2 linked regions of the Nothobranchius furzeri genome follow. The protein of the gene in region 1 purifies or fractionates together with the protein of each later gene. This does not show direct contact. Links are inferred from orthologs where the notes say so. Each region holds a gene or a part of one and is shown on either strand. Other genes may lie near its edges.

Region 1 (5,365 bases):
CACAGGTGTTCCCTTACCCCATGCCCTGCGCTGAAAACCTGCCTCCTCTCCGTCCGGAAACTCCTGTGGATAAAATTAGAGCTCCGGTCACTTTTAGTCCAACTTATTGTTGATTCTTGCAAAAAATGTAAAAAAGCATCACCTCACAGACAAACTGGGAGTAAAAACGAACCCTTACCGACAGCTCCCCGTCCTCTGCCTCGGCCCCTTCGACCCCGCTCCGCCCCTCTTCCAGCTATCCCGGCTTTGCCTCCATCCAAGCCGTTCTCCTGACCACGAACTTCGGGTAGAAAGAGCAAAAACAAAAAACCTTCACATTAAAATTCTGCAAACCTCAGAAAAATAAACTCCTTAGAAAAGAATCAAAGATTTAATAGGAAAACTGACTAAACTACATTTGGCACAAACAGACAGTAACGGCTCACACTCTCGTCCCCTGCTTGCTCCGCGACCCCTGCGCGAAGCTCCACCTCGGCGACGTGCTGCATCTTTCTCTCCTCCTTTCTCTCTGTTCTCCTTGCCTTCTTCTCCGGTTTCTGCCTGGCTGGTCTCCTTTTGACCCGACACCCCTTTCTTCTTACCCACCATTTCCCAGGAGTCCTTTAAGAAGAGAAACACAGCGTCAAACTAGCATTTCCACCTGTGGCATCATGGGATACCGTTGTGAACGGACGTTTACACAGGAAAGCGGAGTATAAAACATGCTCGATTTGTTGCAGATGGCACATAAAACTTTGTAAGAGCCGACTGTGGCTGTAAAAAAACCTCCAACAAAAAAATAATTTCATTTGTTACAATTTATTTCTGAGAAAATAACGTAGGTTTTTTTTATATTTACACAATACTTTTCTTGTATTAATACCATGTTGTAGTCACTAAAGAGACAGGACTAGATTAGCTTGACTTAAAGGAGTTTTTCACGCCTCACTAGCACAGATTTCTCCACAATCTACCCCGAGACAAAGCATTTACTCACAGTGTCTGGGCTACCCTCCAGCAACACATTAATGGCTCTGTTGACGTCCCCGTTGCAATCATGCAGCGCGATCATAGACTCATCCTGGTCCTTTCCAGTGATGTCAATCAGCTGCAAGAGGAGGGGCGAACTATGAGACGCTAAGGTGACCCCAGGAGTGCTTTTCTGCTTTTGAATTTATACTAAAACATGCTCAGAACTATGGAAACGAGCAAAACAATGCATCAAATAAAAAAAGTCAATAGATGAGTCAAACACTGAAATAGGGTACCGAAAGTTAAAAATTTTCACATTATGCCAATAATAAGCTAAAATTCCCCCAAAAAATGAACCCTCCAATCAGAAACTGTCTCTACAATCAAACTTTCTGTATAATTTACTAAAACAAAAGTATTGCTTCTCAATGAAAAGGTCAGCTAGCAGCCATGGAGGATTAAAGCTGCCAGCCTGACTTCTTTGAGCATGTTGTGACACAACTTCCTGCTGAATAAATAAATCTCTCCCTGTAGCGGAATAGTTAGTCAAGCGTATAACTCAAGTCATAAAAGCCACTCAAGTGTTTGGTTTATTATCCAAAGGTATGAGAATAAAAATAAGTCCTAATGAGGTCCGTGTCTGCTCACCTGTTTAACCTTTTCTTCAAAATCTGCATCGTTGTGGTCTGAAATCATCTGCGCGAGTCTTATCTGCTCTGCGGTGGCCTGCGAGAAGAGGGAAACATCCAGTATTTGCATCTACTGCAAGTTTATTAATATCTGCCTTATTTATTTCTAGATAAACTTGTTTTATTAGTCAAGCGATGAGTCCCAAATGTTGGGATGCGTTTGCATAACAAAGCGAGGGCTTATCAGAAAAGGCCGGATTAATCTATTGGTGTAAATCGTGAACGCGTGGAGCAGGTACCTGAGGCCTCTGCTTGTGCTGTGTCTGGCTCTGTGTCTGGCCTTGTGTCTGCTCCCAGCTGCCCCGGACTCGGTTCCCGCCCATGGACGTCATCATTTACAGTATATACAAATAACAGTATTTACAAAGAAATAACACCTGCAGGAGAGAAGAACGAGATGAGAGGGATAGTTATGACCTACTTGAACATTTGTATGACTGTTATATTTAATTAGTACTTCCTCAGTAGGATGTTTATTGCTTTATGTTGAAGATGGAAGCAGTGGTTCACAGGAAAATGTCATTTTGGTTCCTTTGTATGACCTGGATTAGTCAGATGATGCAGCTCCATTAAAAGCTTACGAGACTATAAGTTATTTACCTCTCAGAACATGACGTAACATTTCTGCATCTAAAAAAACCTAGGTGATGTTCAGCAAGCCCACCCATCAAATAAATATGATCACAGAGCCTTTCAAACACAAACAAGGCTGTGTTTATATCAGATCTGACGGGCTGGACACAAGCACAAGATCAGTCACGTACAACTTGGTTAATAACAAACTGTTATTCCTGCTAATGTTAAGTGAGAACTTAATCTTGTACAGGTTACGTAAAACCTCAGCCTTGACTAGCTTAAAAACAAACGCAGGCCCTGTCGAACATTTCCCGGTTCTGCTAGCCAGCCGCATGGTCAATAAGCAGGCCACTGGCTAATCCTTAAAGGAAAACATCCAGCTCTGAAGCCTCTTGGTGGGCTTCCGCTTCTCTGGGCTTCACCTCATGGCGACAACGAGGCTAACTTTAACAGCTAGCCAGCTAACTCGGTGCGGAAACCTGGCTGCGTACGCAGCTGTTAGCTGACTTAGCTTAGTAGACAACATGTTAATTAGCTCACCAAACAGTGACATGCTGGGGAGTTTTAACACTCGAAGGGGTAAAACTACAGAACGCCCATAACGGTCGGCAAACACAAGCTGGATGCTAACAACTAGTAGCGAAATAACGTCGTTCCGAACAACTGAGCAACTTTAGCTACGTTAGCAAATTAGCAGCTCGTACATTGCAACACTCTAAGCCAGGGTGGGCCCGGTATCATCTGTTTCTGGGAGTGTCGACCTGGATAACACCGAGGCTGGGGGCAGGCCTGCAGGCCGCTAGAATGAAAATAAATAGCAGGCGATACTGACCAGAAAACCCGGCTCAATATCGCAGAGCCACACAACTGGCCGACAAGAGCCGTTGGCGACTTTCTATTTTGGATTTAAGACAATATATAAACCCGAAACTTAATGTGGTTGCAACTATTTCAGGAAAATTATGATTAAAAAAGAGCCGACTCGCTCACACAATAAACGAGACGCTGAATTTACCTGTTTCCTTTCCACTCTGACACCACGGAGAACTGCGTCACGTGGTTTTGGAGAGCGCTTCGAGGAAACCGGACCCGCACCACGTGACCCGCTCTGATATAGTTTGATATGATCAACAGAGCTGAGGCATGTCTCAACAACATGAAGGAAAAACCGAAATACATCCCATATTTTCTGCCCTCAGGAAAAAAAGCACAAAATTAAAACTTTCACAGCTCCGCAAGTATCCAGAACTAAAACCATTGAGTTTTGACAATGCTAGACCATGATCATGATGTTTATGAGGACTTAATAAATAATATAAACAAATTGTTTTGTTTAAAGTTTGAACAAAATATTTTGTTTATATTATGTATTAACTTTAATACAAATTTAAACTATAAAATCATTTGTAAACACATTAGATAACGACTTAGATGGTAGTAATAAAAAAAGCTTGCTTCGTCACATTTCTTAAATGAGTTTGTTTCCGGCTCAAGATTAAGCTGCGTTTCAAACAACTGCACAAGTTAAACAGGTTAAATGAAAAACAGTATATTGAAAACAAAACTGATGTTACATGAGAACAGCAAGAGAAACAGAACTCAAGACTGGTTTAACAGCATTACTTGTAAATATACCCCGTTCTCGTGTTTATTTTACAATGATACAAAATATTACACATTAATTTGAATTCACATTTAGCGAAAATAATTCACTTGCAATAAAAATATAGTTTTACACCAGAAATCGTGTTTGTTGATTTTTGTATTGTAATTCACACTCCAACCACATGAGGACGGTCGTGCACCATAACGCTATTTTTACACAGCTGATTGTCAGTTTTAAGCTAGCATTAGCTAACTGCAAATATTTTCATGTGTCGATCAAGAAGAGGAGTTGCGAAGGAGAGGGAATTATTACAAATAGTGAAAGTCTTGTTTGCTAAGATAATGTAGGCGTGTTGGATTTATAAAGTGAATAAAAAGCATGGCAGACTCGTCGCCTTTGTCCGGTGTTAATGTCGTTTTGGTCATGGCATATGGGAGCTTGGTAAGTAAACAAATGCGATATCCACGCAGCGACGTGGTTTTACTTCATTTTAACTCCTCTTGTGCGTCTGCAGGTGTTTGTTCTGCTGTTTATCTTCGTTAAAAGACAAATCATGCGTTTTGCCATGAGGTCCCGCCGTGGACCCCATGCTCCCATCGGCCACAACGCACCAAAGGTAAAGGTCAATTTTAGAACAGCTCGATTGCATGTTTACATGAATGTATTTGCAGGGTTTGAGGGAAGAGATCGACGCCACGCTGTCGAAGGTCCACGAGATCCGGTTCGAACCGCGTCTGTTATCAGAAGAGGACGACAGACTCAAGCGAGGATCACAGATCAGTCAGTCATGTTTTGTTTCCTGCAAAAAAAAAAAAAAAAAAAAAAAAAGTTTAATTCTTGTAACATTTTCCCTATTGTTTATCACAGGTTGTTACAATTACCTGTACAGAATGAAAGCTCTGGATGCCATTCGTGACTCAGGTGAGATGAAATTATAACGCTTGTCTAATAATGTATGAGAAACCCAACACACACTTTTATTCATATATGCGCATAAAAAATGCAATCACAAGTTTATTTTTTTTTCAATCTAATTAGCTGTGTGTGTATTTCACATCGATCCTGCGTCCCATTTTAATTCCGGTTCCTTCCTGTTTGGATTATAGGAATTCCTCTACAGGAGATAAGCGTCAGTCCCACTGCGTTTACTGGACGCAGCTTCAGGATTTGGCTGGTGGAGCTGCGCAACTCCCACTCTCTGATCAAGAGCAGCCGGAGTGCTCTCATCGACCGCTTACTTGAAGGTTATGACAGCGCCCGCCATGGGACCGGGGTGGGTGCAGGTGCTCTTGTGAAACAGAAGGTGGAAACTGTGGGATTGCAAACTGATTGGACTTTAAATGTGTGTTTCAGGTGTTCGGAGAGGCGGAGTTCCTTGAATATCAACAAGCACTCAATGAACTTGCTGAAGTGTAAGTGCTTCTTAAGGTTTCCAACACTGGAACAAATACTTTAGTGCTATATTAACAGGGCAACGTCTGAGCAGCTTTCCAGTGATATTTATAACAGAGTCATCACATCTTAGGATCCACTACTCCTATAA
Region 2 (5,128 bases), on another chromosome or scaffold:
TTTGGTTGATCATTTTGCACCATCTCTGATCAGAACGCAAACGAAAAAGTCTTAAAAATTGTGATAAGAAAGCAAAGACAGGGATTAAACACTGTGTGTCAAGCTAAACTCTTTTTGACATTGTAATGTGATGTGAGTAATTAAAAGTTTGCACTGAACACTTATTTGTAACATCAGAAAATCCTGGCTGCATGAATTGAAGGTGTGTCTATGAAAATCGGCTTGAATGAGCCAATTCAACATGAGAACACGCTGTTCAGATCTGACTGCCATTTAAGGTTGTTCATGTCTTCAGTCTGTCTGTTCAACGTTGTTGCACTGAGAGGTTTCATTTTCCCTGGCTAAGGCTGCTCGTGGTCCCCTGGGAGACAGCAGAGGGAGATCCGGAGCACCCTGTTACCATCTCCACCCGCTCATCCAGACTCCAGCGTCAGGAATGTGAAACAACCCCAGGGCCCATGAAGCCTGAAGTCCCTCCTCTCTGCCACAGCAGGGAAAAAATAATGAGTTCATCATGCTGTTGAAGAGAAGGTTTGGTGATTTAACACATTAAAATCTCATTCAGGTCATAAAGTCATAGGTGTGGTTTTAAGGAGAATTTTAAGAATTTAACAAAAACTACGAAATAAAAAATAAAAAATACAGGTGAGTTAAACATTTGAAGTGGCACCTTTTAGATTTGATGTTTGAATTTTTTTTAAAGAACCATCATCTGTGTTCTGGCTAACTTTTTTAGGATTGTCAATAATTACAGCTGGATTAATTAGTGATTAATAGATAATAGCTGATTAGATAGATTTCTTTCCAGTTTCCATAAAAAAAGCACATTAGCAAAACATTTGTACTACACATGAATCTAATACTTAAGATATCATATGTGAGGAATGACTCTGGAGGATTTCTTTTCCAGCTCCACAATATTCAATTATTTCATTTTGAATTTCTTTTTTCCTAAATAATTATTACAAGTTATAAAAGTTTCTAAAAGGACAAATTTCCCAGGCAGTCTATTGACCCCTCCAAAGTTAACAGAGCTAAGAACAGAAACAAACTCAAGAAATAATAAAAAAAACAACAATTTTTTAATGAAAGAAACAAACTTAAAAAAATCACGTTATGACATTCACAATGAATATTATGACACAGAGAAGGGGGAATCTGAAGATTTCAGTACCAACATAAATATTGTTCAATCAATGTTGTCTCAAATGTTCCATGTTAGGTGTTTAAAAAGTTGTCCAAATATTTATACATTTGTAACTCTTTTGCTTTTCATTTTAGTTGACATAACGTCTGAATTGTTTTGTTTCGAGACAGAATCAGCATAAATCAGTCTAATCTCAGATAAAACGCGCTTGCATCAATCTTCCACAAATTACATTAGCTCAAATGTTGGCCAAACACTTTTGTCGCCTCCAAGTGGAGAAAATGTAACAGTGCATATTGACTACGGGAGACGCCAGTTCTTAAAACCATCGCACCTTAAACCGTTACTCAAACTTCCATTTTCATCCGGGATACTCCTTGGCGCTTTATTTAATTGGTTGCTGACTAAAACCTTAATCTTATTGGCCAGAGAAGCTCTGAGAGGCGGGACATCATGTTCAGTTGCGATTGCGAGGGTGAAACCACCGGTATCCGGGTACTCCAGCACGTTGTGAAGCCGCTAGTTAACAGGCAGCTGCTACGCTGGTTAAAAAAAGTCACATTATTTCAAAGCAACGTTTTCATTTTAATAGTTTGATCAGTTGGTGAGTTGTTTCGTTCCTATTTATGCTATCCTATTTTCGAAAAAGCAAATTTTCATTTCGCCGCGCTTATTTGATTAACTGGGTTGGCGTCCCGGTCTCCGTCTATTTTCTGGCCTTGCGATGATGTTAGCTGGTTTTGGCCATTGTAGCTAAGCTATTACATAGGTGTTATAACTGTGCAGTTCGCTTAATTATTAAATTATTTAAAACACAAGGCTGTTACTGAAAGTTTGAAATTGTAACTTATTTGAAAATAATTATTAATCCCCAAGTTTCGCTTTTGCTATTTCAGGAAATAGCCACCGCCCTTTCAGTCGTGACTCCCGTTTTCTTTCTTTACAATATTACTTTCCACATTTGGAATTGTATGATCGAACCGAATTTGGTAGTGTTTCGTTGGTTTTATTTGTGTATAAACTACCACCTTGGGTGTGTGGTCGCTAAAAGCGAAAGGTTAGACCAGGGACCGTGCGGGACACGTGCTGGGGCTCCTTCCGTAACCTAGCAGCAGACGGGTCTCTGTTCAGCTTTGAGGCCGTGAGCTGCTCCAGCTGTCGTTGTTCAGCTCCGTGGTGTGGCCGGGCGTCGTGCCATGTGTGCTCAGGTTATATCTGGTAACGGCCGCCGGACTGGCCTTTAGTCCCTGAGGCGAGCGGGGGCCTCCATGACTCCATCACGGCTGGCACGGCGTGGCCTTTGTCTGCTTACAGTTCGAGCACCTTTACTCAAGACCGTGACTTAAGATAATAAACACAAGTCCAAGCTTATCCTCTGCGCGCATCGTGGCCCGGTGGCACATTCTGATCTCGATGGATTGCTTTGCTTGTTTCTTTAACTCGGTTTCATTTCATGATGGATGGGATTTCGCTGGTTGTCTTTATGAGGATGCTCATTTCTGGTTCTGAATGATCTGATAGAAGAAGGATTAGACCGTAGCTTCTATGTGACTAACGTAAATTCTCAGGTTTGATTACCTGTTCTTTATTTGCCTCCTGCCTGAGCAGAAACAGGTTCTCTCACCAACTCATTCATCAAATGTTGCCATAATGTGCTGCATAACGCTAGGTGCCAAAATTATTGTTGCAGGATTGTTAAAAACTAAATGAAGACAATAGTTTTTGATGACTATTAGTTATCAATGTTTACATTAAAACATTTTACAGTTAAAAATATTGTCTTTGATCAGGAACCTGAGCTACAAGTTTTTATTTCATTTTTACAAATTGATGTAAATATATCAAGACTAATGATTTCACTCTCTGTAGTCTGTGGAAGTAGCTGCCTTATGAATTTCTCCACTGTCGGATTAATGAAGTTATTTTATTCTGATTCTTGGATCAAATCACCAGTTTCTTTGTCCCTACTTGGAATCACAGTCCGTCATTTTCTTTGTCAGTGACACTTTTCTTATTTGCAGAGATTTCCAGTTGACCAAAGAAATGGTGATGGAGAAGCCAAGTGCCCAGCTGGTCGGGCGAGAGTTTGTCCGACAGTATTACACACTCCTGAACCAGGCCCCCGACTACCTGCACAGGTACGGAAGTCAGCTGCTTGTGGAGGGTTTGATTTTGAAGTTTAAATGGTTTTATGATAAATTGTTAAATATTTGTACAAACAACTAGTTTGTCTTTTTGTTCAGGTTTTACGGAAAGAACTCCTCCTATGTGCATGGTGGCCTGGACAGCAACGGCAAACCAGTAGAGGCGGTTTATGGACAATCTGTAAGTGGGCTTCACCCAGTTAGAGGCATTTTCCAGCGGCAATACTTGGTGCAACTCGGGAGGGTTCGGTTTGGTCTGATTGCTTTTGTCCAACGGCGCGTTTTGGTATTTTTCCCCTGCTTTCCCTCTACTTTTCAGTCCCTCTGTTTTGGTTCCAAGAGCTGAACCGGTATTTCGACTGTCGGCCACTGATTGGCTAGGGGGCGGAGTCACTGGTTGCTCCAGAGCCTTCTGTCTGCTGTCTGAAACCATAAAACTGAAGAGTGTTCAACATCACCTTTATTTTTGTGCAGAGTTGTTTCTGTGGAGCATGCAGGTCACCTCACAGTGTGTACTGATGACCTTGTGCTATTTTTGTCGCGTAAAGATCCCTGCACAAGCAAATGCTGTGGTCCCCCCCATCCGCTATGAGGGGTGCACCCACTTTTTGTCTCTGAGCAGGCAAGGAAAGCCAAGTACTCTGTGGTGAGCCGAGTTAACCCACGCTGCACTGAGCTGTTTTAGCCTGAGTAGTGCTGTTGGAAAAGGCCTGTTAGGTGTGTCTCATAGTCTCATGAATCTAGAATGTGAAATATTCATGAATATATTTTCTTTTCAAGAGTCATTGTTACACACTTGTTTTTTTCTTCCAGAAACTAAGTTTTCTAGGTAGTTTAACATTCTGATGAATGTTTATCAGTACTTTCTGATTTATTAATCCTCACGTAAATTGTTTTATTCTAATGCTTGTTAAAATAACCATTATCGCTCTTGTCATGTAGTTGGATAATTGAGAAATGATTGATTGCTGTTAAATGCCCAAATTAAATCTTCAGTTCGTTAAATCTTTTGAATTTTTTTTTTATCAGGAGATCCATAAAAGAGTGATGGCTTTGAGTTTCCGAGACTGCCACACTAAGATCAGACATGTGGACGCTCACGCTACTCTGAACGAAGGCGTGGTGGTGCAGGTGATGGGCGAGCTGTCTAATAACATGCAGCCCATGAGGAAGTTCATGCAGACCTTCGTTCTGGCACCAGAGGTTGGTATTAGATTATTAATATATTTTTTTCATTGATCTGATCAGTTTATTCACATGCATGTTTTTCCAGGGTACGGTGGCAAATAAATTCTACGTCCACAACGACGTGTTTCGTTACCAAGACGAGGTGTTTGGTGACTCTGACTCTGAGCCTCCAGAAGGTGAGAAACTGTTTTGTTTTATGACCTAAACATTTTTCTCTCTGAAATTGGTGTAATGTAGCAAGTTTAAAAGAGGTTTAAAAAACATTTTTTTAATATTTCTGTTCATAATCGGTCACTTTGGGTTTTTCAAGCAGGCTGAACATGAAAATAGTCTCCTACACCAATCTGCTGCATTAGCTTCTGACGGTGAAGCTCTAGGGTTAGAAAGTCCTTGACGTATCTGCGTCACACTGTCACTTGGCATTCATGGACTCCCTTCCAGTTTTCAATCCAGCGATCACATGTAGTTCAAGCAGAGCAAGAAACCAAAGAGGAAGAACTTTCATGCCAAAGCACAAAGGCAAAACGTGGAGCATTGTATCTTGTAAGTCCCTAAACAGCAATGGTAATTAAGATGGTTAATGGACAGTGTCAACCTTCTTTTATGTTTATAAAAACGTAACATTTAAAGCTAATATGAATATTTAGAA

What was found. The genes of interacting proteins can lie anywhere in the genome.
Region 2: the proteins of ubap2l (region 1) and g3bp1 purify together in Homo sapiens (affinity purification with western blotting; 6 studies listed by BioGRID and IntAct, with this or other methods). This does not show direct contact. The link is inferred for Nothobranchius furzeri from reciprocal best matches to the Homo sapiens genes UBAP2L and G3BP1.

What each region holds. Positions count from the first base shown.
Region 1 is NC_091759.1:4,197,430-4,202,794, reverse strand, and holds the start of ubap2l (ubiquitin-associated protein 2-like), read right to left. Parts: upstream 3,332-5,365; 5' UTR 3,232-3,331; intron 3,070-3,231; exon of another isoform or gene 3,049-3,069; intron 2,018-3,048; 5' UTR 1,976-2,017; coding exon 1,880-1,975; intron 1,678-1,879; coding exon 1,600-1,677; intron 1,088-1,599; coding exon 977-1,087; intron 601-976; coding exon 426-600; intron 281-425; coding exon 179-280; intron 64-178; coding exon 18-63; intron 1-17. Other genes in the region: protein C1orf43 homolog, read left to right, coding at 4,201-4,263, 4,337-4,438, 4,494-4,602, 4,690-4,743, 4,929-5,095, 5,176-5,234. UniProt on the Homo sapiens protein: Recruits the ubiquitination machinery to RNA polymerase II for polyubiquitination, removal and degradation, when the transcription-coupled nucleotide excision repair (TC-NER) machinery fails to resolve DNA damage.
Region 2 is NC_091741.1:69,282,302-69,287,429, reverse strand, and holds the start of g3bp1 (ras GTPase-activating protein-binding protein 1), read left to right. Parts: upstream 1-1,616; 5' UTR 1,617-1,751; intron 1,752-3,168; 5' UTR 3,169-3,190; coding exon 3,191-3,285; intron 3,286-3,390; coding exon 3,391-3,472; intron 3,473-4,320; coding exon 4,321-4,494; intron 4,495-4,564; coding exon 4,565-4,655; intron 4,656-5,128. UniProt on the Homo sapiens protein: Protein involved in various processes, such as stress granule formation and innate immunity. Plays an essential role in stress granule formation.